Rhinolophus ferrumequinum: one gene and its partners. The protein of the gene in region 1 purifies or fractionates together with the protein of each later gene. This does not show direct contact. Links are inferred from orthologs where the notes say so. Each region holds a gene or a part of one and is shown in the gene's direction. Other genes may lie near its edges. The genes, in order: SLC38A9, LAMTOR3, LAMTOR4 and LAMTOR1.

Evidence for each region.
Region 2: the proteins of SLC38A9 (region 1) and LAMTOR3 purify together in Homo sapiens (affinity purification with mass spectrometry; 3 studies listed by BioGRID and IntAct, with this or other methods). This does not show direct contact. The link is inferred for Rhinolophus ferrumequinum from reciprocal best matches to the Homo sapiens genes SLC38A9 and LAMTOR3.
Region 3: the proteins of SLC38A9 (region 1) and LAMTOR4 purify together in Homo sapiens (affinity purification with mass spectrometry; 4 studies listed by BioGRID and IntAct, with this or other methods). This does not show direct contact. The link is inferred for Rhinolophus ferrumequinum from reciprocal best matches to the Homo sapiens genes SLC38A9 and LAMTOR4.
Region 4: the proteins of SLC38A9 (region 1) and LAMTOR1 purify together in Homo sapiens (co-immunoprecipitation; 5 studies listed by BioGRID and IntAct, with this or other methods). This does not show direct contact. The link is inferred for Rhinolophus ferrumequinum from reciprocal best matches to the Homo sapiens genes SLC38A9 and LAMTOR1.

The regions. Positions count from the first base shown.
Region 1 is NC_046290.1:34,663,390-34,670,438, reverse strand, and holds the start of SLC38A9 (sodium-coupled neutral amino acid transporter 9), read left to right. Parts: upstream 1-4,039; 5' UTR 4,040-4,154; intron 4,155-6,337; exon of another isoform or gene 6,338-6,412; intron 6,413-7,049.
Region 2 is NC_046288.1:51,294,663-51,302,050, reverse strand, and holds the start of LAMTOR3 (ragulator complex protein LAMTOR3), read left to right. Parts: upstream 1-4,388; 5' UTR 4,389-4,572; intron 4,573-4,603; exon of another isoform or gene 4,604-4,710; intron 4,711-4,864; 5' UTR 4,865-4,901; coding exon 4,902-4,910; intron 4,911-7,388. UniProt on the Homo sapiens protein: As part of the Ragulator complex it is involved in amino acid sensing and activation of mTORC1, a signaling complex promoting cell growth in response to growth factors, energy levels, and amino acids.
Region 3 is NC_046290.1:90,639,225-90,647,066, forward strand, and holds the start of LAMTOR4 (ragulator complex protein LAMTOR4), read left to right. Parts: upstream 1-4,837; 5' UTR 4,838-5,183; coding exon 5,184-5,207; intron 5,208-5,351; coding exon 5,352-5,432; intron 5,433-7,141; coding exon 7,142-7,259; intron 7,260-7,596; coding exon of another isoform or gene 7,597-7,613; coding exon 7,614-7,711; 3' UTR 7,712-7,842. UniProt on the Homo sapiens protein: As part of the Ragulator complex it is involved in amino acid sensing and activation of mTORC1, a signaling complex promoting cell growth in response to growth factors, energy levels, and amino acids.
Region 4 is NC_046294.1:47,696,615-47,704,117, reverse strand, and holds the start of LAMTOR1 (ragulator complex protein LAMTOR1), read left to right. Parts: upstream 1-4,503; 5' UTR 4,504-4,658; coding exon 4,659-4,700; intron 4,701-4,710; exon of another isoform or gene 4,711-5,172; intron 5,173-5,746; exon of another isoform or gene 5,747-7,503. Other genes in the region: transmembrane O-methyltransferase homolog, read right to left, coding at 1-6, 1,141-1,415, 2,255-2,272. UniProt on the Homo sapiens protein: Key component of the Ragulator complex, a multiprotein complex involved in amino acid sensing and activation of mTORC1, a signaling complex promoting cell growth in response to growth factors, energy levels, and amino acids.

The DNA.
Region 1 (7,049 bases):
AGAACCCACGGAGCGGGTCATGGCAACCTCAGATAGTAGCTGGTAGGTCAGAATCACAGGTGACATCTTGGACTTTCAATTGACATCTAAAATAGAGGATGAAAGTGGGGGGGGATTTTTGTAGGACTGAACCCTTAACCTGTGGATCTGATGCTATCTGCAGGTAGATAGTGTTAGAATTGAGTTAAAGTGTAGGACAGCCAGCTGGTGTCCAAGAATTGCTTGGTGGTGTGAAAACACCATCTCCCCATCCCCCATGCTGGAATTGGTACTAGAACCTTTAACATCAGTCAACATCATGTGCCTCTTGATGTGATGCAGTGAGAAAGACACTACAATATTCATGTATTATTCCTGCAAAAAATGCATAACTTGAATCTAATCATGAGGAAACATTGGATAAAATTCAAATTGAGGTACTTTCTACTAAATGACCTATATTCTTCAAAAATGTCAGCATCATAAAAGAGAAAGAAAGGCTTAAGAATCCATTCCAAATTTAAGGAGCCTAAGGAGACATGAAGACTAAATGCAATGCATGATCAATCATATGTAGGGCTCTGGATGAGACAAGAAAATTCCTATAAAGGACATATTTGGAAGAGTTGGTGAAATTTGAGCAAGGTCTGTAGATTGAGTAAGAGCATTGTGTAAGTTTTTAAAAGTTCTAATTTTGCTCACCGTACTATGAAAATCCTTGTTCTTAGGAAATATATAGTGAAGAATTCAGGAGAAGGCATATTGTCCACAACCTAATCTCAAATGATTAGGGAAAAGTGTGTGTGTGTGTGTGTGTGTGTGTGTGTGTGTGTGTAGAGGGAGGAGACAGAGAAAAGGAGGAAGAGAAAGAGGGAGGAAGGGAGAGAAAAAATGATAAAACAAATATGGCAAAATAATGTCACTTGATAACACTAAATAAAGGTTATATGGGAGTTCCTTGTGCTATTTTTTGAAACTTTTTTGTAAGCTTGAAATTATTTATAATTTAAATATATATATATATCTTCAAAGGATTGAAACACATCAAAGATATTTTTAAACTCTGTGAGGTCATAAAAATACAAAAAAAAAAAAATAACAACAAACAAAATACCAAAAGAACCACTAAAACAATAAACCCTCCATTGGTCACCTTTGCAAGACGCTAGGCAACCAACTCATTTTGAAAACTGGCAAAAGAAAACAAACAAATAGACAAGTGTTTATACTGCATTTGGGGTAACAAAGTTGTTCAGGGAAAAGTCTCTTCCTTAGAAAAATTCCAGCTAATTAATGAAAATCTCCACTCTGTATCCTGTAGGCCAGGGATCAGGAAACTATGATCCTGAAGACAAATAGCTGTTTGTCCAACCCAATAACTGTTTCTATAAATAAACTTAAGTACAGCCACCCCATTTGTTTACATGTTGTCTATTTTGGCTGTACTTATACCATAAAGGCAAAATTGAGTAACTGTTGACAGAGACCATACAGCCACAAGGCCTAAAATATTTACTATTGGGCCCTTTACAGGAAAAGTTTGCCAATTCTTTCTCTAGACCAGGAAAATAATGGCTAGTGACATACACCTCCCAAACTGTGAGACTACAGGAAACTCACAGGGATGCCAGAGTATTTTAAATTTTTGAGAAAAACACAGCAACATCTGTCAGACACCAGGTGAATGACTAGCTTGAGGTTATTCACAGTTTCAGCATTAGATGAAGTTAATTCTTTTGGATAACATGATACCTTTGAAAAGTTGAATTTTCAGCAGTTCCTATGATCTCAAGCAAGTGTTGTGCCAAATCCAATGTGAAACAGGAAATGAGGATAGTGGTGTCCCATCTGATTTCAAGGTTTGAGAAGTTATACAGTGCCCAACAGGTGTACACACCCCATTAGTAAGCAATTGTGGTTAAGAATGAAATAAAGTATTTTTTTCAATGTGTGTGTGTGTGTGAGTGTGTGTGTATTTAAATGGCTACTAAGTTGTTAGGACAAAAATACATATTAATTTGTTTGGACCTAACTACTTAGTAAACAGAAACTAAGGATACTGAAAAAAAAAATTACTGAAACTCAGAGGGTAACATAAAACTGTGATCTAGCAAATGATCAATGGCTGGTGAAAAACTGAAGAGGAATTTTGTAAGAGACAATATTTGAGCCCAATGTACAGTCTCAATATCACAAATGAAAGACCTGATGTGATATAGGAAGTACAAAACACCACCTATAAGGCTTGATCTAAAAAACTAAGTTTGAATACGATCAAGGTTCTAAACTTGACTACCACTCTACTAATTTTATGAAGTCTGTATTCTGTGTTTTGTGGCCATTGAAGTCTCTGTTCCATCAACCTAGTGGTCAGCTAGTGTCTTTATTAAATACCTAGAAGCAAAAAAAAAAAAAAAAAAGCCGAACGCAAAAATATTTCTCCCATTCTTTGCCAGTTAGCTATATTTTGGGGCACTCCTTCAATGCTGAGCCAAACAGTGTACAACTCTGCCTTAGCCTTTACTTCCTGTCTTCACAGAGCCTGAAGGTCAGCCAGAGGTGAGAACTTAGGTCTTTTCAGGTGTTTTCTGAGCATGTGTCCAGACCAGGGTATGCATATGGCCTTCTGGATTCCCCAGAATAGCAGGGAGCTTTTCAAAACCCTTATTTCTTCAAGTAGCTGCTTCTCTCACCTCATCCTTCCTGAACTTTCTGGTCTGTTTATTGCTTGCTCTGATTGTTATACTTTGCCTCTGCTGGCAGTGGCTAATACATTTGCTTTACATGCTTTCAACAAACACTGCCTGGGCAGCTGCCTTAGCCCTGGGGAGGCTCTAAGGCAGGCAAAACAAAACAAAACCCTCAGCCAAACCTTTGAGGAACCACCAGATAAGTTAAAACACATAATTACAATTCCTTGAGAATAAGGTCCATATTGCTTTCCTTGGTATCAGCAAACTACACCAAGAATATGGGCTGCTGTCGTGAAGGCCACTTCCAAGCTGGAGAGTAGGAAATGATCACAGAGCTCTCTTACCAAAATTCATCCGTCTTGTCTTAAATGTTCCCCTGGCTGTTGTTAAGTTTTTTAAATTAGATTCCAGAGCTAAAAAAAAAAAAAAAAAAGTTGATTCTGGCAATTTTGCCAGCTTATTTGTTGCTTTTACAGAGGGACAGTTTTCAAATTCCCTACTCTGCCATTTTCAGTGATGTCACTCCATACCATTTACTTCTGTGCATCTCAGCCTTGCCTAAAATTATTTTCTCGGCCTGGAATGCAGAGAAATAAAAAATTTTGCTATCACGGAAGCTCTCAAAAAATGTACTGATGATTTGAGGGCAGGCCAAGGAGCAGTTGCAAACATTTTTCAATAAGGAAACCTAATCAGCAAAATAACTTTTATCTGTCTTACAGGCAATACAGATGCTCCTCAACTTACAATGGGGTTACGTCCCAATAAACCCATAGTAAGTTGAAAATATCGTTAAGTCAAAAATGCACTTTTATGTATACGCACATTAACATTACTTAGATTGTTTATTTGGGTTGGCTTTGGGAGAAATGGCTAAGGATGGGCAGAGGGTGCTAAAATCCTCCCACAGCTCCTTTTTTTAGCCTAGAGATTGGTTTGCCAACACATTTAAAAGGAAAAAAAAGAAAACTGTCTAGACAAGGGAGGAAGAGGGCCAACCCAACACATTTTTTTCAAACCAGCTTCCCTTGGTGTCCATAGGGTTCAATCACGTGATGAGAGTACAGAACAGCCAGGCAAACCTGGGAAGAGAAACAGATAATGAGAGGTCATCCCTAGATGATAATGCCACATCAGCCCTTTCTCATGTGGCTTCCGGGGCTGTAAGGACTGCAGGCTACAGTGTCCCTCCTTCCAGATGCCTTAGAGTCTCAGGCAGGCATCCGACACTGGCCGGAAATCAGGCGGCAGATCAGGAGAGACTTGCTCACCTGCGCTGACCATCTTCTCAATGACCAAAGGCTGGGCTCTGCAGAGAGGGGCGTGTTGTCTGTCGCAGAGGCCACCGGGAGTTGTAGTCTGCAGCGCCGGGAGGTTTGACAGTGGCGGCTGGCTAAACGCTCTCAGAACTCCATTCCCCGCCGGCCATCGCGGCCTAGACTGTTGCCTCTTCCTGATCAGGGGACAAGAAGCCCGGCTGCGGTAAGTTAAGAGGATATGGAAAGGATTTTCCACCTTCTTGCCGACTTCTCGGAAACTGAGGGCTTGGTCTACTTAGGTAGAGCACGTTCCCTGGTCTTGCAAGTAGCCTCGGGAGGGAGCGGAGAGAACCAAAGGGAAGCGGAGGAAGAGCTGAGCTTGCAGCGGAAGAGCTCAGCTTGCAGCCAGCCGGCTGTCACTCGGGGAAGTTCTTTGGTGAAACGCATGGAATAGTGGAAATTACTCCTTGATCATGGGCTGCAGAATGGATATTGTGTTAGCAGGCATGAAAACAACATTAATCTTATACATCTCCATCAGAGCTCTTGGTTACTGGGTGCTTTGTCAATGAGCAGTAATATTTTGAAAAGAATCATATATTTCTGAGTGGTGGATCTGAACAGTAGGCTCAAAATATTTGGTAAACCTTGTTGTAAACAGATGTGCTGTTATCCAGTCTTTGTTCTCTTTGTAGAGCACAGAGTAGATTTAGCATAATTCTTAAGGATCCTTGGATTTTTAGAATGGTAAATGAGCACTGATTTCAACTTAAAGTCACCACCAGTTACATTAGCCGCTCGCACGAGAGTCAGCCTGTCCTTTGAAGCTTTGAAGCCAGGTATTGCTTTCTCCTCTCTAGCTATGAAAGTCCTAGATGGCATCTTCTTCCACTATAAGGCTGTTTCATCTACATTGAAAAATCTGTTGTTTAGTGTAACCTTCATCACTTGTCTTAGCTAGATCTTCTGGATACTTTGCGGCAGCTTCTATGTCAGCACTTGCTTCACCTTGTACTTTTATGTTATGGAGACGGCTTCTTTCCTTAAACCTCATAAACCAACCTCTGCTAACTTCAGACTTTTGTTCTGCAGTTTTCTTACCTCTCTTAGCCTTCATAGAATTGAAGAGAATCAGGGCCTTGCTCTGGATTAGGCTTTGATTTATGGGAATGTTGTGACTGGTTTGATCTATCTAAACCACTTAAACTTTCTCCATTCTAATAAATATGGTAAGTAGAGAAGAGGACCAACACTGAACTTTGGGACTCTGCAATTTTAAGAAGTCTGGGAGATATGGACCAAACAGTGAAGGAAACAGAGGAGGAAGAGGAGGGACCAGAGTATGTAAAGAAAACTCAGAGCCCTAGTGAATTTAGTTTATTAGCGAGTGATCCCTTGTGGCAAATATTTCTGATAGGGAGAGTAAGTTAAAACTTGGGAAATGACCCTTGGGTTTACCCATCTGGAGGTCATTGGTGACCTAACAAGAGCAGTTTTTGTGTAGGGATGAGGAAGATACCCTGATTAGCATGGTCTTAAGAGAGAATGGGAGAATCTTCTCTATTTTATGCTTTCTACTTTGTATCTTCTCTATTTTATGCTTCCTCTTTTATGTTTTTTTTTTCTCCTTTCTTGCCCTTTTTTAGGTCAATTTTTAGCATTCTCTTTTCCCCCTCTACTAGATTTTAATGATACACTGTTTTCTATAGTGTTAGTAGTTACCTTTAAAATTACAACATGCATCACATCAAAGTGTAATGTTGACCTGGACAATACAAGGGCCTTCGAACACGTTAATTCCAAGACCTTCCTATGACTTTTTTTCCCTTTGGTCTGGAATTTTAACTTTTTTTCTAGTCTTATAACGTTTATTCATTCTGCTTGGATTCAGTAAATTTCTTGAATCTGCAGATTGTTATCTTTTATAAATTCTAGAAATTTGTCAGCCATTATCTCTTCAAATATTACCTTTGCCACTTCTCTCTTTCTGGTTCTCCAGTTACATACATGTTAGATCTCATATTATCTCCCCTCTTTCATACCTCTCTTCCACGGTTTCAGCCTTTCTTTTTTTTCCTCTCTCTGCCACATTCTGGATAATTTCTTCTGATTTAATCTTTTAGTTCATTAATTTTCAACTTTTAAACCCATTCATTGAGTTTAAAATATTAGCTATTGTATTTGTTTATTTTTTTAAATTTTTGGCCTAAAAATTCACTTTCGTGATTTTCAAACATCCTCAGTTACTTTTTGAAAATGTCCTCTTTTTCTTTTATTTAAACATAAGAAGCGTAATTGTTTTATAATTTTATTCTGATTAATTCCTATAGTTAAAGTCCTTGTGGATCATTCTACAGTTGTTTCTTCTGGTTCTCACTAACAGTATTTTATTTCTTTACATGCTAGGTGACTTTGGACTGTATACTGTTTATTGTCCTTAAAAGATTGTCAGCAAGTTCTTCTTTGAGGACTAGGATGAAGGTGTGTCCTTACTGAAAAGATTTACATTTGCTTCTGCCCGTTACCTAGAAGCTCTACCAAGCAAATGAGCCTTAAATTATATTCACAGATTTATGTGTTCTTTTAACTGCCTTGCAAATCCAGATGAGGTGCAGTTTGTGGTATATACCATTTCCCCCACCACACATACACACAGGCATACACACACATGCACGCACATGCTATGGTCATTGTCAAGAAAACTTGTTTGTAGTTCCCTTGTGAGGTAGTGAGGCACTTTTACTTGTTAACCCCTAATCTAATGGTAAAGCTCTATGTAGTCCCAGCCAAATTATGGGAAGTAGGGGTGATTTCTTATAATCATTCCTTACTTTGAGTGAATCCCAGGTTTTGTCTTCTATTTCCCTAATACTTCACAAGGCCTTGAAAACCTCAGCCCAATTTCTCCTGGTACAGAAAATACCTTCAGAGCAGAAGAAACTTCCTTGAGCTATTTACCTCTCTAGGTTCCTTGACTTTACCTGCAAATGGCCTGATTTTTCTCACTATTTTTGAAGCTTTTCAAAAGATGTTTTTTTATATTTTATCCAGTATTTTTTGTTTTATGCAGAAAAATAGGTCCAAATAGCCTAATCTGTTTTATTACTAGAAATGGATT
Region 2 (7,388 bases), on another chromosome or scaffold:
AGTATAGGATCCATTGGAAAGATAAAATAATTACTTTAGCTAGTAGATACCACCAGCATTTTTTCAGAAAGGAATGCACAAAGGATGGGTACAGATGCAGGTGGATTTGTAGTGTTAATGGGACAATATTATGCTTGCATTTTCTTGATGAAATAGGCAGTTTATGTAAAGTGGGGGAGCGGGATGAATGATAAGCAGAGGCTTAGAAAGAATGAAGACAATTGGAAGGAATCATTTTCACTGAGTCAGCTGATTAGTTGAAAAGTAAGATTTCTACAGGTTCCAGGTTGTTGACAGAATTTATAATCTCCGTAGTTGTACTTTCTCCAGCTTAACCCAGCAGCCTAGCATAGGCATGGGCAATACTACTCATTTAACTCATTCAAATTTGGGGCTCTGTTAGGCACTAAAGATGGTAAGGGAATTTAAGATGTTAACAGTTAAGTGATTCCACTGGTTGACTATTGGATGTAAACTACAGATGGAGGGAATTAGTGATTTCTAAGGTGACTGTGCAAGTCCAGGGTGTGATGGCAATAGATGGTAGTATAGGTGAGAAAGTTATTGCATATGAACTTATAATTGTATTCTCATTGGGCCAAATCCCAAACCACGGCCAGAGTAAAAATTGGACATACAATTTGAACAGTGTAAGTGATAAAACTCATTTTTATATGTTGGAGAATCAGCAAGACACTTCTCATGAATCTGAATACCAACTAGAATTTTCACACAGTCAGTAGAGACAATCTAAATCCAGATAACTGTTGATTTTTTGATAGGAAAGCAGAATAAAAAAAAATTAGCGATATCTGCTGTATGCAACAGCTAAGAGAAATTGAAGCTGAAGAGAAGCAGAAACAAAGGCTTTAATATAACCAATAAAGTTAACTTTAATGTGTATTTATTAATTATATACTAATATAATGTGTACAAAGTCTGATGACAATTAAGTTCGTGAACTTGTTGCAATGTTGTTGCTAACCTTTTTAGATATCACAGGGATTATTCATTATGAATTTGCACCAACTGGACAAACAGTTAACCAAGTTTACTATTTATTTTGAAGTGCTGAAAAGGCTGCCTGAAAAAGTTAGATGACCTGAACTTTCGCCAACAATTCATGGCTTTTGCATCACGACAATGCACCAGCTCACACGGCACTGTCTGGGAGGGAATTTTTAGCCAGGAAACAAATAACTGTATTGGAACACCCTCCCTACTCACTGATCTGGCCCCCAATGACTTCTTTCTTTACCCGAAGATAAAGGAAATATTGAAAGGAAGACATTTTGATGACATTCAGGACATCAAGGGTAATACTATGACAGATCTGATGGCTATTCTAGAAAGAGTTCTAAAATTGCTTTGAAGGGTGGACTAGGCGCTGGCATTGGTGCATAGCTTCCCAAGGGGAGTACTTCGAAGGTGACCATAGTGATATTCAACAATGAGGTATGTAGCACTTTTTCTAGGACGAGTTCGTGAACTTAATTGTCAGACCTCGTACATAGTAAAATAGAAAATTTGAATGAGATACAAATTGTGTGTGTGTGGGTGTGTATGTGCGCGCGCACGCACACGCGCGCGCTCCATTTCCACTAGTTTCTTCCTGAACCTCGGGGATCATCTGGTACACCCACTTTGGAAAACTGGTACATCGTGCTGATGATCTTTTAGGCCAGTAAATATTTACCCTAGTCCTAAACTAACAGCAGTGGTATTAATGAGTAAATGCAAACAGATCAATCAGAGTACATAAGGAACTCTTCCATTAACATGCTATAATCAGAAACCACCATTCTTGGAAATCAGAAATATTATTTCTTTCCATTTGAGAACATAGTGATGTTTGGAGATTTTGGAAAGCTATGCTCTACCTTTTTGCCACTCAAAGAAAAAAAGTCAGTATTTTCCAGGTCAACTACCATTTATTAAGGTCATTAAGATGGTGAATTTTGTAAAAATAAAAAGTAGCACTTCCAGAAATTAAAAGGTTTTGCTAGAGCTCATATCTTTACTTGTGTCTAAACTTGGGTGGGGGAATAGTGACGGGGGAATAAGAAGTTTTAGTCAGGGCCAGGATTAATGATTTCTTTTAATCACTTTTATTCCACAGATGTTCCCTGAGTGCCTGTTGAGTGCAACATGAGAAACTGGAAAAATGTAAAACCTGACCCAGCCTTCTATACTTTATGGTCTCTTTGTGAAGCAAACCAAAACTGTGACATAACTATGTACAAATAAATTATCAGTTATTCTTGGTAGTATATAGTAGCATTCAAGAGAATTTGATGGGTGAAAAGGAGTTACAGGGAAACAAGATTTAAATAAAGTAGGGAGTGAAGGGGTTCAGAACATCCCACCCCAAATATGCCACTTTGGCATATTGACTATTTTGACGTGAAGGCACTAATAGGTGCATGAAGGGCTTTCTGACTTCCCTCTTTCCCCTAAAACTGGTCATTAAATTTCCTATACGAAAGGTGCCTTCCCTGTACCAGGAAGAGAAGAACATTCGTATCACCAGAGACTGGGGATTGATACCAAAATGAACCTCTACAAACCTAATAAAATAACCCTTACCTCCAATTTGTTTCTCCATATATTTAATAGTGTCTGTTCCACAATTTACTGCCCCTACCCTGAGCCCCTTTGTCTTGTTACATCCCCACAATTTATTGTCTGTGTAAAAACGTATATAAGCTTTCGGTCTAATGACTTGTTTCTTCATTTTCCTTCTGAAGACTCCCGTGTGCACGTAAAAATACTATATAAATTTGTATGATTTGCCTCCTGTTATCTGTCAGTTTTATTCTTAGGCCCAGCCACAGAACCTAAGAGGGTGGAAGGAACTTTGTCCTCCCCTACAGGAAAAGTAATCACTTCAGATGAAAGTAACCTACAGAATCAGTGTGGGAAAATAAGTCATGTTGATGGAAGGGTGAGGTAAGTAATTTGGCTAGCATATGGGATTCACATTAGAATGTGTTCAGAAGTAAAATAGAATGTTAGTGCCAAATTAAAGATTGTAAACTTTATCATTGTCTGCAATGGCATATCACTAAAGATTTGAGCAGCAGTAATGTGTATTCTAAGAAGGTCTATCTGGCCGTTAAGTAGATATTGATACAGTTTTGCGGAATAGAAAAATGCTGTGAACTAAGAATTGAAAAAATAGAGATGCAAGCATCATGGTTAGGAAAGAAAAGAGAACATGATGGAAAGCAAATGTGACACCTAACTAGAATTATGAAACCAATACAGACATACATCAGGAGGAACAGATTTATTGGAGAACCTTTAGAGCTTTTGAATTAGAGTTGACAGTAAGGTATGTATGTAGAAATATTTATCCAGCATCCAACAAGCAGCTGAAAATGTGAACCTAGAACTCAGAAGAAAGGTGCAGAATTAGAACTCACATTCTCAGGACACTGTGGAATTAGAAAAACAGAGATGAGAAACCAGACAAGCTTTAAATGCCATCATTTAAGAGTTAGGAAACTAGAGTAAGTGAAGACCTAAAATAAGAAAGAGCAGTGTCCCAGAAGCTAAGAAATCGAAGGGGTTAAATGAGGAAAAGGAAGTGGTCTTCAGTGATGTCAGTTGCTACGTAACTGTTAAATTCACTTGTAATAATGAAGTTATTTGTAATATGTGGGAGCTTTGTAGTTTACCATTTCATCTTCTCAGGAATAACGAGGAAGTAAGTATCCAATTCTTTTCACCGTGTCTTGAGCTAGTTACTTATTTTTGCACTCCTGTTGGGGATTGGAGTTGAAGATCAGTGTTGAACAAGTTCCTGTAGACCTCATTTACCTGCCACCTACTGTAGGTTTTTGCTAAAGGTGCACACAAGACACCAAACAGAAAACAATATGGAAAGTCTTTACAGGCACAGCCTTCTAATTGGAGCCAATAAAGGTTACCCAACAGCTGCATATGTTGAAGTTCACACATAACTGAGAACTCCAGAAAACCCAGGATGGCTCCTCAATTCAATCTACACAAAACCTTGAGTAAAGAGCAGTGAGTCGATGGCAAACGGGAAAGCCAAAAGAGAAATCGGGGTCTGGAACCTTTGGAGCTGGGACTTCTAATCACGTGTCATCTGGTGCTTGCTGTTCAGCTTCAAAGTCTTTGATCTAAAAGAACAGGTTTTAAGATAACGGACTCTGAAATACTAAGGCAATTCATACACTCTCCGCACAAAAATGTCTTCTTACATGCTTTTCCTGGGGAGCTTTACAGCGCAGCAACCTGACAGGAAACCTCTCTCCAACACCTGGTGTCTGCGCAGGCGCACGAGGCAGCCTGTGGAGAGCCGCGGGAGGGCGGGGTGGGGCGGGGTGCGACGCACAGTCGCACGCTCCCAGTTCCCCCCGCGCGTCCCCGGAAATCCCATGGTACCCGGCGTTGGAGGTGTAGGAAGTGCTGCTTCAAGCGGAGAGGAGGTCGTAAGTCATGTGACGGCAGCTTTCAGAAAGACCTGTCTTTGACGCTGTCCCTGAAGGACAGCAGGCAGCCCAGAGCCCTGCGACCCAAAGAACCGGGCAGCCCAGAAACCGGGTAACTGGAGCCACGTTGCTCGGTGTTCAGGCCTGGGCCCGCGGGTGTTACGGGCGGTGAGCTGGAAGAGCAGAGGATGCCCCTTCCGCTTTATTTCGGGCTTAGACCTTGGGGGCTGGGGAGGCGGAGTGGGCTGAGGTAAGGCACCCCGGCTGTTCTTGTGGGTATCTGGGCAGTGTGTCTCCCTGCGATCTCTCTGGTCCCAGGCCTAGAGCCGCGGATTCTTGCCTGACCCTGATGACAGCTGACCCCGCTGAAACCCAGATTTCCTCACCAGGAGTTTCTTTTTCAGGCGTGGATATTGAACCTGCGGGAGAAAGGGGTTCGTCATGGCGGATGTGAGTTAACACCCCCGCACAAGAGGAAGCAAGTGGTGGGGAGTTTGGAGCATACTGGGTGGGGAAAGATTGTGCTTCCCAAAGAGAAATTTGTTTTATTTTTGCCCCTCTACACCTTGAGTTATTGTCTCCAAGATCTGGAGTTAGAGATTAATATGAATGGATTTCCTGGGGCCGTGAGTTTGTGCCTTGCATGGGCCTGTAGGACACTTAGGTGCCCGTGCTCACTCCACAGCCCTGCGGGCATAAGAGGCTCCGAATATTTACCATTTGAATTTCTAAATGGTGCTTTGCTGCTTGGAATCCTTTTTTTTCCCAGCAAGTGGTCATGATGTCTTTCTGGGTTCATTGGAGCCATTTGAGATGATTTTTCAACTGACAAGTCTTGAGCACAGCAGTAAAAGCCAGATTCTAAGTTTAAGGAACTTAATTGTTCTAGTTACTAGAAACAGCGGGAAATTAATACTAGTACTAATGTTTATATTTTACATATGTTACTTTGCTTACGTACATCCTGAGTGTTATAAATATTGAACATACGCTCATTCTCAGCTTTAGGAGGTAGGCATGATCATTATCCCTGTGTCATAGATAAGGATGCTAAAGCACAGAAAGATCGAGTAACTTGCCTCAGGTTACTCTAGTACTAAGAGTGAAAATACCAACCCAGGTATTTTGGCTCCAGAGTCAGTGCACTTAACCATTTTGCTAGTCATTCAGCATTAATATGAATCTGATTTTTCTTTTTACGTTGCAAGATTATGTGTTTCAACATTAAGCAACTTTCATGCCTTTATCACTACATTTTTGGGTGTCTTCCATTATGTTTTTGAGACATTATCCTTCAGGCATAATCAAATCACTAAATATCTATTGAGCAGCCAAAAGGTTGTTATAATAAGGACTGTGGGTGAAATGAAGAGGACTATGGTATAATTCCTCTTAGGGGTTTTACAGTTTTAAAAAGTAGACAAATGATCAGATATGCATGCATTATTGTGTGAAAATTCAAAGGAGAGAGGGATTACATCTGGTTTGTGTCTATCAGGAAAACCTATTTGGAGTGTTTGGTGGTTGAGGTTAACTCTAAATGATGAGTAGCAGTTTTAAAAAGTAAGATTCAGAAGGAGAATATTGCTAGTAGAATGAATAGCATGAACAATATTACATAGGAAAGGGAAAGGTTGTGTATGGAAGAGCTGTGAGTAGTTTAATTTAGCTAGGGCTGAGGATCTGTGTGAGACAGCAGTAGGAAGCAGAACTGTAAACTTAGTTGTAGGCCATATTGTAGAGGCTCAAATGTCTAAAGAGTTTGTACATAATTCAGTGAACAGTGGAGAGCCATTTCAATATTTGTTCTCAACCGTGGCTGAATAGGTGGTAATCTGGGGAGCACCTCTAACCTAGCCATCTAGTCAACAGTGGCCTTTTTTTTTTTGAAGCTTTTCACGTGTTATCCATAGCCAAGGTTGAGAATCCCTACAATTACAGTTTTAGAGAAGGAGAATAATAGGATTATTGACACCATGTAGACCTGTATGGAATAGATGCGGGAGATCAGCATACCAACTAGGAAGCTAGTGCAAGTCGTAAATAATAGAATGAAAATAAACTGTAATGTCAGTTGAAAAGGAGAAGAAGAGATCGGTTTAAAAACATTTGACTTCACAAGTGATTTAAAAGTGACAAACGTGAGGTTAGGGTTAGGTATTACTCTTAGTTTCAAACCTGAATTAATGGGTTTGGTAGTCCCATTAGTGAAAACGAAAAGAGATTGAGGAAATCTGGGTTTCAGATGAAACATGATGAGTTGAGGTTTTTTTGTGTGTGTTTAAAATGAGAGCAAAGGTAAACTGGTAGTGATAATATGGAATAAAATGAATATTCAGGTTTGGAGAATAGTAGGGATTAGAGGTTCAAAACCACAGATATCTGATTTGTCTATGTAGAGCTCTTTAATTGATACTTGGATTGTCAGTGAAATCCCCCAGGTATAAAGAGATCAAATAAAATAGTCTTCTATTTATTTTGTTAATTATGTTCCATGCTAAACACTTGGCAAACATTGTCATATTTTAAGTGAGGAGATTTAATTTCAGAGAAGTTAATCAACTTACCCAGAATTGTTGAAGTGATATAAGAAAGATGTAATATATATAGATGTGGAAAGATGTTCATAATATATTCTTAAGTGAACACAACAGTAGCAACAGGATGTGAAATAGTAAGAAAAGTGTGATCTAATTTTACAGCTAATACGTATTTGGGTTTCCCATTTCCAGATATGCTAATCACTTAACATGCATCTTCTCGGTAAACTTTAAAAATAATATTATGACGTAGGTTCTGTTATTATCCCTTCTCAACAAAGAATGAAACTGAGGCTTAGAGAAAAGGGTTAGTTGATTTTGCTCCAAGTCACATAACTAGTAAATGTCAAAATCAGAAAGAGAAAGAGAAGATACACGCAAGAAAGAT
Region 3 (7,842 bases), about 56 Mb from region 1:
CGACACTGAAACAAAGTGTCAAAGTGCACAATGGAAGTCAGCCAATTCTCCACAACCAAAAAAGTTCCATCAAGAATCAAAACGATGTTGCTAACCTTTTTTGATATCAGAGGGATTATTCATTATGAATTTGTACCAACTGGACAAACAGTTAACCAAGTTTACTATTTGGAAGTGCTGAAAAGGTTGCATGAAAAAGTTAGACAAAAACGACCTGAACTTTTCGCCAACAATTCATGGCTCTTGCATCACAACAATGCACCAGCTCACACAGCACTGTCCGTAAGAGAGTTTTTAGCCAGTTAACAAATAACTGTATTGGAACATCCTCCCTACTCACCTGATCTGACTTCTTTCTTTACCTGAAGATAAAGGAAATAAATATTGAAAGGAAGACATTTTGATGACATTCAGGATATCAAGGGTAATACGATGACAGCTCTGATGGCCATTCCAGAAAAAGAGTTCCAAAATTGCTTTGAGGGTTGACTAGGCACTGGAGTCGGTGCATAGTTTCCCAAGGAGAGTACTTTGAAGGTGACCGTAATGATATTCAGCAATGAGGTATGTAGCACTTTTTGTAGGAGGAGTTCGCGAATTTAATTGTCATCTCTCATACATCCCTATTGTGTATATATATATATATATATATAAACATGTATTGGGGCAGGTGGTTAGCTCAGTTGGTTAGAGCTCGGTGCTCTTAACAACAAGGTTGCCAGTTCGATCCCCACATAGGCCACTGTGAGCTGTGCCCTCCACAACTAGATTGAAACAACTACTTGACTTGGAGCTGATGGGTCCTGGAAAAACACACTTAAAATAAATCAAAGTTCAAAAAACGAACAAACAAACATATGTATCTCCCTAAATAATACATTATTTTGTTTTTCATGTTTTTCAACTTAGTGTAAATGGAACTCTTCTGTATTTTTCTTCGTAGCACTTCTCACCAATTAACATTTATTTTCTGATTGATTGATTGATTGATTGATTGTCTGGCTTACCCTCTCCCTCACAGCTTCTTGAAAACAAAACAAAAAAAAGTCTTGTTTTTATTCACTATTGTACCTTCAATTCCAAGAAGAGTGCTCAATTAACACTCATTGAATGAAAGAATGAGAAACCTGGCTCTCTACAGGATTAGTATGATTCAAGCTGTTTGTGAAAATGAAATAATTTTAATGATGGCTGATGAGCTTTGTCCTGCTAAGCGTTCCTCTGTGTTGAGAAAAATGAGTGCAGACATTCTGAGGTAATATTAAATGTAGCTTAAAAATAATACTAAATGTAGTTGGCCCAGGGAGCAATAGAAAAAGCATCAGCCTCACCGTCAGCAAACTTAGACTGGAATCTGGCTCTGTCACTTTTCAGCTGTGTCCTTATGAGCAAGGCTCAACCTCTCTCAAGTTTCCACTTCCTCATCTGCAAAATGGGGATACTATTACAGGGCAGTTAACATGAAGGTAAATGAGTGCATGGATGAAAATACTCTGAACAGTAAGTGCAAAAAAATGATGTTACAAACTGTCATCAATATCTTAAATCCAGGGAAGGCTTTGCAAATTAAGCATCTCCGCAAAATTCTTTCTCTCTATGTCCTCCTCCAGTTTAAATTTTATATTATAAACATACCTCATTTTTAAAAGGGCACCCATCTTCTCTAATTAGCTTTCCCCTCAAGAAACAGTACACAGTTTTATTTTATTGAGATATAATTCACATACAGTAAAATTCACCATTTTAAAGTGTACAATTCAATTGTTATTACATTCACAAGTTTGTGCAATCATCATCACTATATAATTCCAGAACATTTTCGTCACCCAAAAAGAAACCCCCGACACATTAGCAATCACTCCCCATTACTCTCTCCCCCAGACCCTAGCAATTACTAATCTGCTTTCTGTCTCTATGGATTTGCCTAGTCTAGACATTTCACATGAAGAGAATCATAAAATTTGCGGCCTTGTGTCTGATTTCTTTCACTTAGCATGTTTTCAATGTTTATCCATGTTGTATCATGTACAAGGTCTGATCAAACAATACGGTGTTTAAATTTAAGAAAATTATTACAGGAAAAGACACATTGCCATTAATCCCCCTCAAAATACTACGCTTTGCTTCAAACACACTTATGGCATCATTCTTGCCACATTCGGAAGCAGTTCTGGAAGTCCTCTTTCGTGAGTGTCTGTCATGCAGGGACTCTGGTCCTGCTCCCCACACAAGAATGCAGGATATGGTGAGGCCAAAAAGCAACACCAATGGAGCCATGGATAGAGGAGTCATACCACTATAGTCTCGACAGCGGCTGGGTTAGACACAGGAAGCAGGAGCCACACGATCCACAACCTGCCGTCTACTTCTCTTTGCCAACCAACCAACCTAGCATAGCCATGGGCAGTTATATTAGTGGCTAATGGCTAACTGGTTACAGCTGATGGCCAACTAGTCACAGCTGATGGCCATCTACTACCCGAGCCAGCACCTTTCCACGTGAGGCCGAGAGCCTGGAAACTGCTCTCTGGGACTCTGTCCCCACAGTGTCTTCAGTTGCACTGTTGTGGCTGCCTCGATGCCCAATGTCCTGAATCGATTCAAAACATTTACCTTTCATAATCATTTTGACTCTGCGGAAGAGCCAGAAGTTGTACAGTGCCAGATCTGGTGAGTAAGGTGGATGAGGACACAATGTTTTTTGTTTTTGTTTTTGTTTTAAAGATTTTATTGGGGAAGGGGAACAGGACTTTTATTGGGGAACAGTGTGTACTTCCAGGCCTTTTTTCCAAGTCAAGTTGTTGTCCTTTCGATTTTAGTTGTGGAGGGTGCCGTTCAGCTTCAAGTTGTTGTCCTTTCAGTCTTAGTTGTGGAGGGCGCAGCTCAGCTCCAGGTCCAGTTGCCATTTTCTAGTTGCAGGGGGCGCAGCCCACCATCCCTTGCGGGACTCGAGGAATTGAACTGGCAACCTTGTGGTTGAGAGCCCACTGGGCCATGTGGGAATTGAACCGGCAGCCTTCGGAGTTAGGAGCATGGAGCTCTAACCGCCTGAGCCACTGGGCCGGCTGCACAATGTTTTTATTTGACAGAAATTGCCTTACCAGAAGCAATGTGTGACACAGAGCACTGTCATGATGGAGGAAGAAGGTAAGATACAATAGAGACTTCCAGAACTGCTTCAGAAAGTGGCAAGAACAGTGGGATAAATGTGTTCGAAGTGAGGAGGAGTATTTTAAGGGGGATGAATGGCAATGTGTCTTTTACTGCAATAGGTTTTTTTTTTATTTAAACATTCACCGTATTGTTTGATGACTCCTCGTATCAGTACGTCATTCCTTTTTTATGGCTAGAAAAAATTCCTTTGTATGGCTATGCCACGTTTTATTTATCCATTCTTCAGTTTGTGGATATTTGAGTTGTTTCCATCTCAGGGTAGTATGAATAATGATGTTAGAAATATTTGTGTACAAGTTTTTGTGTGAACATATGTTTTCAATTCTCATATATCTAGGCGTGAAATCGCTAAGTCATACAGTAAGTAACTCCGTATTTAACTTTTCCAGGAACCGCTGATGTTTTCCACAGCAGCTGAACCAGTTTACATTCCCATCAGCAATGTAGGAAGACTCCAATTTCTCCACATCCTCCCCCAAGTACTTACTATTAATAGTTACAGACTCCGTTTTTCATTTCACAGTTACCAACTGTCGTGCGGGGTGTCCTGCGGGGTGTCAGGCGGTGTCTCTGATCCCACTCCCCACATAAGAATGCAGGACATGGTGAGGCCAAAAAGGAACACCCACGGAGCCATAGGTAGGGGAGTCACACCACTATACTCTCACTGGCGGCTGGGTTGGAGACACAGGAAACAGGAGCCACACAATTCTCAACCCTCACTGCGCCGCTTGCAGGCTCAGCCCCCATCTTCTTGCTAGCCCCCATTTCCTGCTAGCGTAGCCACGGCAGTTATATTCATGGCTAGTGGCTCACTGGTTACAGCTGACGGCCAACTAGCCACAGCTGGTGGCCATTTGATCACAGTCGATGGCCATTTACTACCTGAGCCAGCACCTTTCTATGTGAGGCCAAGAGCCTGGAAACTGCTTTTTGGGGCTCTGTCCCCACACCAACACCGCCTGTCACATTAGTATTGCAGCCGGTTTAGAAATCAAATGTGATACTCACATATTAAAAAGTAACTCCAAGGTATTGTTTCTAATTTCTCCTAGCAAAGAATATTCAGTATTAAAACTGTCTTGCCCAGCGGGGTACTCAATTTCCCATCACACCCTTCCTCACAAAATCCCGTGAGGAAATGCTTTTTAGGGAACAAATCCCTGTCTTAAACAGAGAGCTGTGTCGAATAGGCAGAAGAGTAGCATTTCAAAAGCTTTTCTCAGGCGCGTCACGTCCTTTCATTTTACTCTCTTGCTTGTGCTCACATCCGTGGGCAGTCTCACCCCGGCAGAACCCGTTGCCCTCCCACACACACTAGGCGCGCAGGCGCACAGCCTCAGCCCACCCTCTCCCTCCGGCCCCGCCCCTCTAGGCCTTCCCCTAAGCCAACACTCCCCCCTGCCGCCCAGAGCTCGCGGTTGTGGGGCGGGGAGATGGGTGTTTGCGTGCGTCTTGGAAAACCGGCTTTCCGCACTGGCAGATTAAGTCTGATGACGTAGTCAAGCTCCAATCCGTGTTCTGGGGGCGGGACTAAAGTACGGAGACGCAGGGCAGAAGGAGACCGCCCGGTGGAAGCACGTGACCTGGGTCTGGAGCCGGAAGCTACCTATCTGGTCTGGTGTTTCCCCAGCACCTAAGGCTGAGATGGTGAGTGAGGACGCATGCGCGAGAGTACGCTTTGGGGGGTTCCGTGCCCTTGTTCCCCAATCTCTTTGGGTGCCCGTTCCTGGGCCCGCACTTCGTCTTCCCCTCCTCTCCGTCCCGGACAGAGAGGGAATGGAGATGGCAGGGATGGCGATGTAGAGAGCTGAGGAGCGATCTGTGGGAGGGTGTACAGGGGCTGGGGAGTAGTCTGCGGACGAGGGGGGGCCACATGGGGAATTGGAGAGGGGGCTGGAGAGAGGGGCCAGTGGGGCTGCGAAGGCGTCCGGTGGTAGCAAAGGTGGGATGTGAAAGAACGAGGGAGCCCAGAGGCAGAGAGTGAGGACAGATGGAGATGCGGGAAGATGAGTGTGGAAAGCCATGTAGAGGTAAGAGGGTCTGGAAGGGCCCTGACTGGGGGAAGGGGTCTGGGGGGGGGGCGGGTACTGTCATGGGAGGATGGGTTGCAAGTGAAGAGTATCGAGGGCCATCTTCCTAGCATGCTTGTCATTGATTGCATCTTTACACACTAGACTTCTGCACTGACCCAGGGGCTGGAGCGCATCCCAGATCAACTTGGTTACCTGGTGCTGAGTGAAGGCGCAGTGCTGGCGGTGCGTTCTGGGCAAGGGAGGGGGTCCCCCCAAGTACACATGGCCCGGTGATCCCTTGTAACATTGCCCAGTTTAGCCTAATTTCCCGCTGTTGGTATCATGCCTGGCATATAGTAAGCTTTCAGTAATTAAATAAATCTCTGGAATCGTAGTGTGGTAACTGTTCTGAGGTAAAAGGGTTTACTAACTTGACCAAAGTCAGACAACTGGCTACAGGTTTGTTGCTAACTATGATTACCTGGGTTATTCTCCAATATGTCTTTATTTGGTATTTATTAAAGAGGCTTTGTATTTTGTTCCCTAGTACAATATAGGGTTAGCTCTCTAGAAGTTTTTTCAATTTAGCTAGAGGCAAGGCTTAAGGTTAAAAGTTGAAAGCAATGTGAGTAGTAAAGACTACTGAAGGAGTCCAGAAAATGAAGGATTCAATCCTTCGTGATATAACTTGTGTTATGACAAGGAATCCTTCTTGGAGGTAAAAATTCAGCTGGGCTTAAAGGATGGATGGTTATGAACAGGCAGAAAAGGAGTATGCAGGATGTATTTGCGGGAATGTGACATGAGCCTGTCTGAATTAGTGGATTTGTGTTAAAATTTGAAAAGGTTTAGGGGAAGAGAATATAGTAAGGAAAGATCTGATTGTGGAGGACTCTCAAGGCCAAGTTAACACATTTGGGGTAATCTTGAGGATAATAGGAGCTTTGAAGGGTTTTTGAACAGAAACATGAGCTGATGAAATAGTTGAGCAAGATTGTTCTATTAAGTATGAAGATGGGCTGGAAGGGGCAGGATCCAGAAGCAGAGGCTGCTGCGGAAATTGAGGTATGAGACTGAGCTGGTGACAATGAGCAGCAAGGAGAGAAGAGAATTGAAAGACTCAGTATGTCTTGGTAATGACTAGAGGTACTTCCACCCAGTACGACTTTGAATGCAAGCCTAGAATGATGGTGCCTTAATAGGAAGTTATTAAGGAAGTTGATTGGGGAGGGGGAGAGGTAAGGGGAATTTTGATGGCTTGACTTTAGCCATTCAGTTTGATTTGACATAGAATAACAGCAGTTAACGTATATTGCTAGGCGCTGTTCTAAGCATCTTGCCAATATTATCTCACGTAACCTTCACGAGCCCATAAGAAAGGTACCGTTGTCTCCAAGTTACAGATGAGGAAACTGAGTGACATAGTGAGAGGCCCATATTGAGAGGTAGGAAGAAGTTGTGACAGTCAGCAGAAAAGAGGAAGCCCGGGCCACTGTCACATCATTACCCAAGGGCTAGGTAATATGGAGGGGTTCAAGGGCAAAGGGGATGTTTATTTCAGATTCTGCAGACAGAGTAACAAGTGGGAAGACTAAGGAAAAGCAGCCTTGAACAAGCCAGTGTAGGGGGGGGACTGATTTTGAAAATATGATTTTACAAATAAGTGGGGCCAGGGAGAGATAACGAGTTTCAAGGGATTAGGAAAGGTCAGTAAAGAAATGGATGAGAGTCACTGCTCATCGGGGAAGCCCAGTATAAGGATGAGAAACGATGGCATCAAGGGGCAACATCATAGGAAAGTTCTAGGTTTTTCCAAAACTGGGGTGACCTGAGGGGTGCCAGGACCTGGTGAGGGAGAGAATACCAATGCTAGAGCCAGAGTGACTGTTCCCTCGAAATTGCCAATTCTGTTCCCTAATGTTTGTCATCCTGTCTCCTCCATCTTCATGCAGTCATCTGGGGATCTCGAGAATGACGAGCAAGCGGCCAGTGCCATCTCTGAGCTGGTCAGCACGGCCTGCGGTTTCCGGCTGCACCATGGCATGAACATACCCTTCAAGCGCCTGTCAGGTGAGCCCTAGTCCCCACCCCTCGTGGAGGTGATAGGAAGTGGGGTGCTCCCAGAGGTGGGGTGCGCTCCTCAGGGGAAAAAACACTTATGTCCTCCCAACCTCCCACCATCTCCCCTTGGCCACTGTCTTCCCTTTGGGATTCACCACTGCATCAGAAGTATGAAAAAGCAAGAGAAGGAAGGGGATTGAATGGAGACCTTCCATCCTCAGAACTCTGAGCCTTGAACCATCGGATTTCTTTGGCTTTTGATCCCAGCCAGGTTGTGTGTGACCCGATGGAGGCCACTGCACTCCACTAACTGTGTGTTCCCTTCCCTCTCTCGGGGTGGGGGAAGGTATGTCTCCCTTGCAGTGGTCTTTGGAGAACACACGCTGCTGGTGACTGTGTCAGGACAGAGGGTATTTGTGGTGAAGAGACAGAACCGAGGCCGGGAGCCCATTGATGTCTGAACCTGCCAAGGGCGAGGGGCAGAAGTGTACTGGGTCCATGAGCCTCTGCGATGAGGAAGATGCAAACTCCTTCCACCTTTTTCTTGGCCTGCTGCTAGAACTAAGGCTTTCTGCTCACCCACTGCCCCACC
Region 4 (7,503 bases), on another chromosome or scaffold:
TCTGACCTATGGGGGGAGATGGCTATTGCAGCAGACCTGGGAGATGGATGCAGGCTCCTGACAGAAAAAAATCTCAAATGCTCACCTGCCTTACTGCAGCCCCCAACCAGCTAGGGTCTTCTCTCTCTTGGACGATGGCCTCAGCTACCCCACTGGTCCTCCAGCCCTTCCAGGCTTGCCTCCTTCAGTGTAGTCTTCACACCAGCCACTGGGAATCTTTCTGACAAATCTAACACTATCACTCCCTGGTTCCTAAGATCCTAAAGGCCTCTGGGATTGAACTTGGGATCCTCAGCCTGACATTCATTCATCTTCTTGGACTAATCCTATCCTGTCTTTCCAGTTTCAGCTCTCAGTTTTTCCCATCTGTAGCCTGTACCACAGCCATCCCAAACACTGTGCGCAGGGTCAACCATTCTGCCTGATTCCTTCCTGCTACATTAGTAGTGTATGTAGCTGGCTTTGCCCTTCCCACCCCTATCCTCATCTGCCTGGCCAACTTGAAAGCGATCCTTCTAGGCACAGTTCAATTGCTGCTTCCTCCGGGAGAGACCAGGCAGAAACAACCACCAGGCTTCTGAGAGACCATCTTCTAGGCTCCCGAGAGACCTTTCCTAGAACTTACAGTTTCATTCCCCTTGATTTTTTTAAATTAGATATTTCTAACCTTGGAATTGGATGACTTTTCTTAAATAAGACTCTAAAAGCACTTACTTGTGCTGGGAGCTGGGACTGAGACAAATCCAGGCAGACAGAATCCCTGCCTGGGATGTAGGGGCCATGGTGGGGGAGAAAGGCTCAGACACAGATCATTACAAAGTTCTGGTTATGTCCTGAGCTGGTTATTCCCCTGTGCATTATGCCCCCTTTGAGGCCAGCATCTGTGGCTGATTCATCCCTGTGGCCTAGATCTTCCTCCTCCTCCCCCAGCACCCAGTGCATGCCTGGCACAGGAGGTGGCAATATATGTTGGCTGGATGGAATAACTTTGCCTAGCCCCCTCATTTCCGGACAAGAAAAAAGAGACCCATAGAGGGTCAAGAACTTGCCCAGTTCACCCAGTAAGGCAGTGACAGATCCCAGCTCTTCCTTCACCGTCTTGGGGGTGCTTCCTGGAGCAGAAGGCTAGGCAACACTGACCTTTGACAGGCCCCATGTGGCTCAGGTACTCGCAGTGGCTGCTCCAGTGGTCCAGGGTGGTGAGGATGTGACCGGGGTCCCCAGGCAGGCCGTGGGTGAGCACATAGCTGAAGGCCCGCTCCTCAATCCGCAGCCCTGACAGACAATCTCGGAGGCTCCGCAGCAAGACCGCACGCACGAGCAGTCGGAAATGGTGTCGGTACCGCACCAGCAATGTCACCACCAGTGGCAGGAAGGCCAGCGCGATGGCAGGGGACATGGTCCCTGCCTGCACCCTGGGGTAGAAGGAGGCAGGGAGGGAAACCCACACCTGCCATTTGCCTGTCATTTGTGCAGCCCTTACCAGTAGTAATTATCTCTCTACTTTACAAACCGTGCTCAGAAAGGCTGTCTTTTGTCCGGAGTCACACAGCAGAACCAGGATTTGAATATCCCAAGCCCATGTACTTTCAGGGACTCTATGCAAAATTCAGAACCCAACCCCAAACCTCCTCTTCCCACTTCCAGCTCCTGGTCCCATCTTCACCTTGCTCCCTCTACCCGTTTCCCCTCATCTCTGTTGTCACCCTTCTTCAGGACCCCTTTCACCAGTTCCCCTGAAATATCCTCCTCTCACCCTACCCCCTGCCTGCTTGGTCTCTGACTGATTACCGTGTAACAAAAGCACAGCTTTGCAGTCAGAAACCCCTTTACTGTCACTGCTCTGCCTTAGTAAAAGGCGATCAAAACATTCCATAGGATGTTAGGATGAGATGTCCTCCCCACCCCATGACTTTCCCTCTGCTCTTTCCGCAGGGATGGAAAGAGTCCTTGATTCTTTGTTTTCTAGTTCTATCACTCCTCTCTGCATTCCTCTCTTCTCTCTCAGAATTCCCTTCACACGTATACACACACACACACACACGTACACACACACACACACACACTTGCTCCTCACTCAGCCCTCTTCCCCCCAACCCACTATGAAGGATAATCGCCCTGGACCCTTGTGAGGCTGCTGCTGGTGGTGGGGACTAAAAATGAAAGTCGGAGTATATGAATGGGTGTGAATAGGTGAGTGATGGTGCATTTGAACTGGTGTGCTTGGGAACCCACACTCAAGGGCCCTGCTTACCTGGGCTGGAGGCTCCTGCTTGGGGAAGATCGCAGCATAGGACAGGAGGGGGAGTCTTTGGGGAGTGGGTGGAGAACCCTGAGGCAGGCTGGACTTGCTCTCAATTATTGATGCTGAGGCTGCTGCTGTCACCTGAGACCTGCAGTTCAAGTTACTAGCAGCAGGGCCACGCTGGAGCTGCCTCTTACCCCACAGGGGGCCTCACAGAACTCCCAGGACTCTTGAGTCTTGATTTGAGGAGCATTAGAGCTGTACTGGGTTTGGTGGCCTCCCTTCCCACCCCTTGGATGAAGACATGGGGTACAGGGTGAGCCAAGGTGTTGTGAGCGTCAGCAAGGCTCACAGATTGCGCTGCAGTCTCTTCCTGCAAGTTAGACGGACTAACCCCCGAGAGACTCTCAGAGCCCCAGGACCTACCTGGCACTGACTGAGGCCTCTGAGGTAGCCATGGTTTCTAGCAAGAATTAAGGCAAAAATGCAGGCTTAGTGCCTTTCAATAAGCTCATTTATTCACACAGAAAATGCAGTGGAGGAATGCAATTTAATCATAGCAATATGGCCATAAATACAGCAATAATAATTTAGTAAAGTATTTTGATAATGAACCAGTCCAAGAGTTAATCAGAATCTGGTGCACCGGGTTGCTGGTCCCAGAGGACGGTCTGGCAAAGTTTGGGTCCAAGTCCAAAGTGGAGTGGAGGGTTCGCAGAGCAGAGGAGCAGCGTGTTCACCTCAAGTGAGACCTGCTCACTGAGCTGTCAAAGTCCAGGGTTCTTAAGGAATTCAGTAGAGCCATATGACGTCACCTTATCAGTCCTCACAGCTACTTCCTGGCCATCTGGTACTTGTTTACCTTTTTAGACTTGTTTACTTCTTTAGAATTGTTTACTTCCTTTGACTTGTCCTATCAGTCCATGCAGCAACTGCATGGCCATCTGGTAGTTGTTTACTTGTACAAACAAGTTGTTTATCTTCATGGGTAATTTCCATAACACTCAGTGTCCAAGATGGAGTCACTCTTGCTCATACAAAATGGAGTTACTCTTGCTCACACAAATACCTTATTTTAGGCACTCTACATACAAGGTGGTAGGGAGGTTGTAGTTTACTCATTAATTCCAAATTCAAGTTTTCTCTAAACAAGTGCCAGCGCTTGGGTCACAGAGAAGAGTCAGATCCTGTCCCTGTCCTTCAGGAACTCTATGTTTGGTAGAAGAAACTGATGCGGAAACAGAATGCAATATAATTTGATCACTAGAATGGATGGCCCATGAATACAGGAACTCTTGGCTGTTTTGTGAACTGCTACATATTCAGATAGAACAGTGTGTGACTCATTGCACGTACTCACTAAATATTTGATCCAATAAATGAATGAATAGGGATTAAGCACAGGGGAGCTGGAAATGCCCAGAGAATGGAGTCAGAAAAGGCAATCAGGAGGATATTGTTGTTGTTATTGAGGCAGACCCAGTGGGGAGGAAGACTGCCAAGCCACATGTGCAAACACCAGTAGGTCAGTCAAGAAACTATTTCCCTATGGCTGGTGAGGTATTCCGCCAATCTCTCCAACACCCCTCTGGGCCTGGAGTGGGAGGCAGGTGTTAGGATCTGCATCTTGAATGACAGACTTAGACCTGTGTTCAGGGTTCAAGGGAAGACATAGGATGGTTCTAAAAGAAATACATGGTGAGCTTTGTGTGATTACTGTGCCTGCCATAAAAAGGTAGGAATGAAGAGAAATAGCTGAGGGCAAGATCAGTGAGGTGGCCTCCATCTTCTCTACCAGGATTGAGCTCCATTTCGCTTTGGCTTGCGAAGGTATATAGTCCCTTCTTCCAGTAAGTGTCAGATGCCCAGTCTAAGTTGACAAAAAAGAACTCTGTTGGGCATCACAACCTTCTATGTGCCCCCACCACTCCTGACTTGGCGCTCGACAACTGGGGCCTATGTGTGTGCATCCCACTTGCCCTTAGAATGGCAGTTAGAAGAACACATCATGACGGCGTTTGGTATGAGTTCGCTCAACGGCTCACAAAGGTGATGGGCGACCAAGCGACCAAATAACGCAACTCACACCACAGCCTCTACAAGGCTGCAGCGAAGAACTGGAGCTCAGAGATTGAAGAGGCTTAAATCATGTGGTCCGCCCCTCCCTTTCCTCAAATCACGTGTCTCGCTCTTGTCTTGCAGGGAGCGCCTTCCCATTGGTTGGAGATGATCACGGGGTGGGGGCGGAACCGGAAGCCGGGGTTTCGGTAGCTTCCGAGCGGCCCTGGGAAAGGATAGTTGTGGGGGTGGGTGATTACTTGCTAATTGCTGCCACGGGTCATGTGACCGGAAGGGGTCGTGACGGACGGCGTCCCTCCTCGGCGCGGCCTGAGCGCCCGGCCCGACCCCGGCCATGGGGTGCTGCTACAGCAGCGAGAACGAAGACTCGGACCAGGTGCGGCCGCGGCGGGCGGGGCTCGGGAATGAGGGCTAAGACCCTGGGGCACGGGGCCCACAAAAAAGCCTGCAGAAGAGGGGGAGCCGGACGGCAGGGCTCACTGAGTACGGAGGCCCGGAGGAGACAGATTACAGAGGAGACGCCGGGCCAGGCTCCTACTCCTGTTAAAGCCCAGTTCTCTCTGCACAGTCCCCGCGTTGGGGTATGCGGGCAGCCGCCTATCCTACTCGTTCCCACCTCTTGCTACCTTCAAACCTTTACAGCTTCAAGGATCCTCAGCTTAGGTCCCTGGGAAGCACTCCCTTACCAGCTCCCTGTGCTTGTTAGCGGGCTTGGTGAATCCATTGTAGAGGTGGGTAAGTTGGGGCTCTGAGTTAATTAGTCCCAAGATGCATCAGGAATCTGTATCCTCTCAGTCGCTGGGGTTGGTGAAGGAAGGTCACTGCTCATCTGGGGTCAGAGAAGGCCTCTGGAAGTTGGTAGCATTGAGTTGGTCAGTGAAGGATTTAATAGACACAATGATGACATTGGGACGTCTAGGAAGTTGTTTGGGAAGCAACAAATCGGGTTTAGCTTCAGCTGGATTGGGGTTTGGCTTGCCTAAGTGCAGTCCTTGCTTAGGGCCTGAGGGTTCCTCTAGCTAGTTGGATGCTTGCCCTGGGAATTTGGCTGTAGATCTGATCCCTTTGCAAGAATTAGGCTGGGGAAGCCTGTACAGTTTTAAATTTTCCCTCTTTCTCTTGGTGCAGTCTCACCTCTCAACACACTTTAATCCTGGCCCTGACCACCTGACCTCCTTTCAGGAGAGAGCCCTTTCCAAAGATGAAGTCTTAGCTGTTGGCCATTCACCTTTCTGATCGCCTCTATGCCTGGATTCCACATTTTAACACATACTAGACACAGAGACAGTAAAAAGATTTCAGCAAATAGTCCACAGTCTGGTGGTGGAGGTTGGGTAGATGGACACACAAATGGATCATCGGTACCATCGGTATATCACCGGTACTGGGGAGAATGTCTTTCCCCAGTGACTCACGTGAACCTGTTTTGGGTTAAGGTCTTGGGCTTGGGAAAATGTCATTTGTATGGGAGGCATGGGTGGCTCCTGGGCCTCATTTAATTCTCCAAACACCCAGTGAACACATACTCATATTTCCTCTGCCTTATGTTAGGTATGTGTCATAGCCAATACCTCTCACTTCACCCCAGCCTGTCAAAGAAGGAGACCGTATCCCAGCCTACTGGGAAGGCTGTGGCCCACTGCAGAGTTGTCCCTGAAAGCATAATATGGACCCTTGCAGGGAATGAGTCAAGGGTTAATGCCTGCCTTATGAGAAAGGATACCAGCTTGTGGCTGGAAGAGCTGAGCTTTCTGCTGCTCTCAATTTCCACCTTCCCCTTGATCGGTTCTCACTTCTGTTTCTAACTCCTTGAGATGGTGCTTGATCAGTGCTGGGTGATTTGAGGCCTCATGTGGCAAAAGTCTGCTAACCTAGTCTAGAAGCCATAACCATTCACTATCCCCAAGTCTCTCTTTGAGCTCTTGGGCAGGCCCCTCTCCCCCTCTCTGTCTCTTTGTTACAGTAATAAGAAATGCACAACACATTACAGTTTTCAGAGTCCTTTTACAGTTATCTAATTTGACTCTTGCCAAACATCTGTCATTTAAGTACAGGTTATACGTATTTAAAGGCAAGGAAAAAGTTCAGAGAGGCTAAGTGACTTAGCAAAGGTTACAAAGCTGAGAGCCATAAACAAGGTGTTTTGATGCCAAGCCATGTGCTCTGTCATTGGACCAAGCTGTCTCTTCCAGCTGTGCCCACGGACCAGATGGCTAGTCATGGGCAGGCCCCATGTATGTCTATGCTACGGTAGACAGTGAAACTCTGGCTCTTGGGTTGACATTGACTTAGGGACAAACCTCGGTGTGAAAAACCTCCCCCATGTTCCACTCGCCCTTTGGGGGTGAGGTGATGTTCCAGGGGGTGAGGGCCTCTTCCAGGAATATAGGTCTCAGGAATACAACCTTGTTCTTGAAGAATCCGATAGAAGAGAAACTGCTCTGTCCTGCCAGAAAATCTGTCTGAAGTGGGGATGGAGGAGGATGCACACACAGGAAGCAAACTCAGACTTCATCATGGAGCCAACTTTCCGTAGAGATTCTTAGAGATAGTTTAATCCTTGGCAAACATTTTGTCTTTCTAGCTCTTTATTACTTAGCTTGTGTTTTAGGGAGGGGGGTGTCTAGGAGGTGGGATGTGATGGGACAGAAGCTGTTTCCTGCTGCTGTGAACTGAGGACACTTGGTCAACCCACGACTGAGAAGGAAGAGTCATGCGACAAGGCTGGGCCTGCCTAGGGTGGGGCAGGCTGGGCAGAAGGAAGTGTCCCTCTGCTAGGAGAGTTGCGGAGTTGTGGGCAGGGGAGCTGGGAGCTGCAGTGGAAAGTCTGGTAGGAACTGAGATAAGCCTGAAGTGGAGCAGTGAGGAGTCTGGTGGTCTGGCACTGAAGGTTGGTGAGTCAGCATTCGCCAGGATGGGCCCCTGTTCTTGACTTTGTCCGGGGACCCTCGCTTTTCATGGCTTGGATAGATACCCAGCAGGTCTGCTTACCCATTTTGCAGCTGACACAAGCCAGCAGGGATTTGCAGCGAGTGGGCTCAAAGCAAGGTCTTATCCAGAAAGACAGCTGATTATAACAAGGGACTAAACCTTGCAAGGAGAAATACACACAGAAATATACAGGACCAGGGAGATGTTTGGCCCCAGCTCAGTTCTGGGGATTGTGACTGTCAACGTCG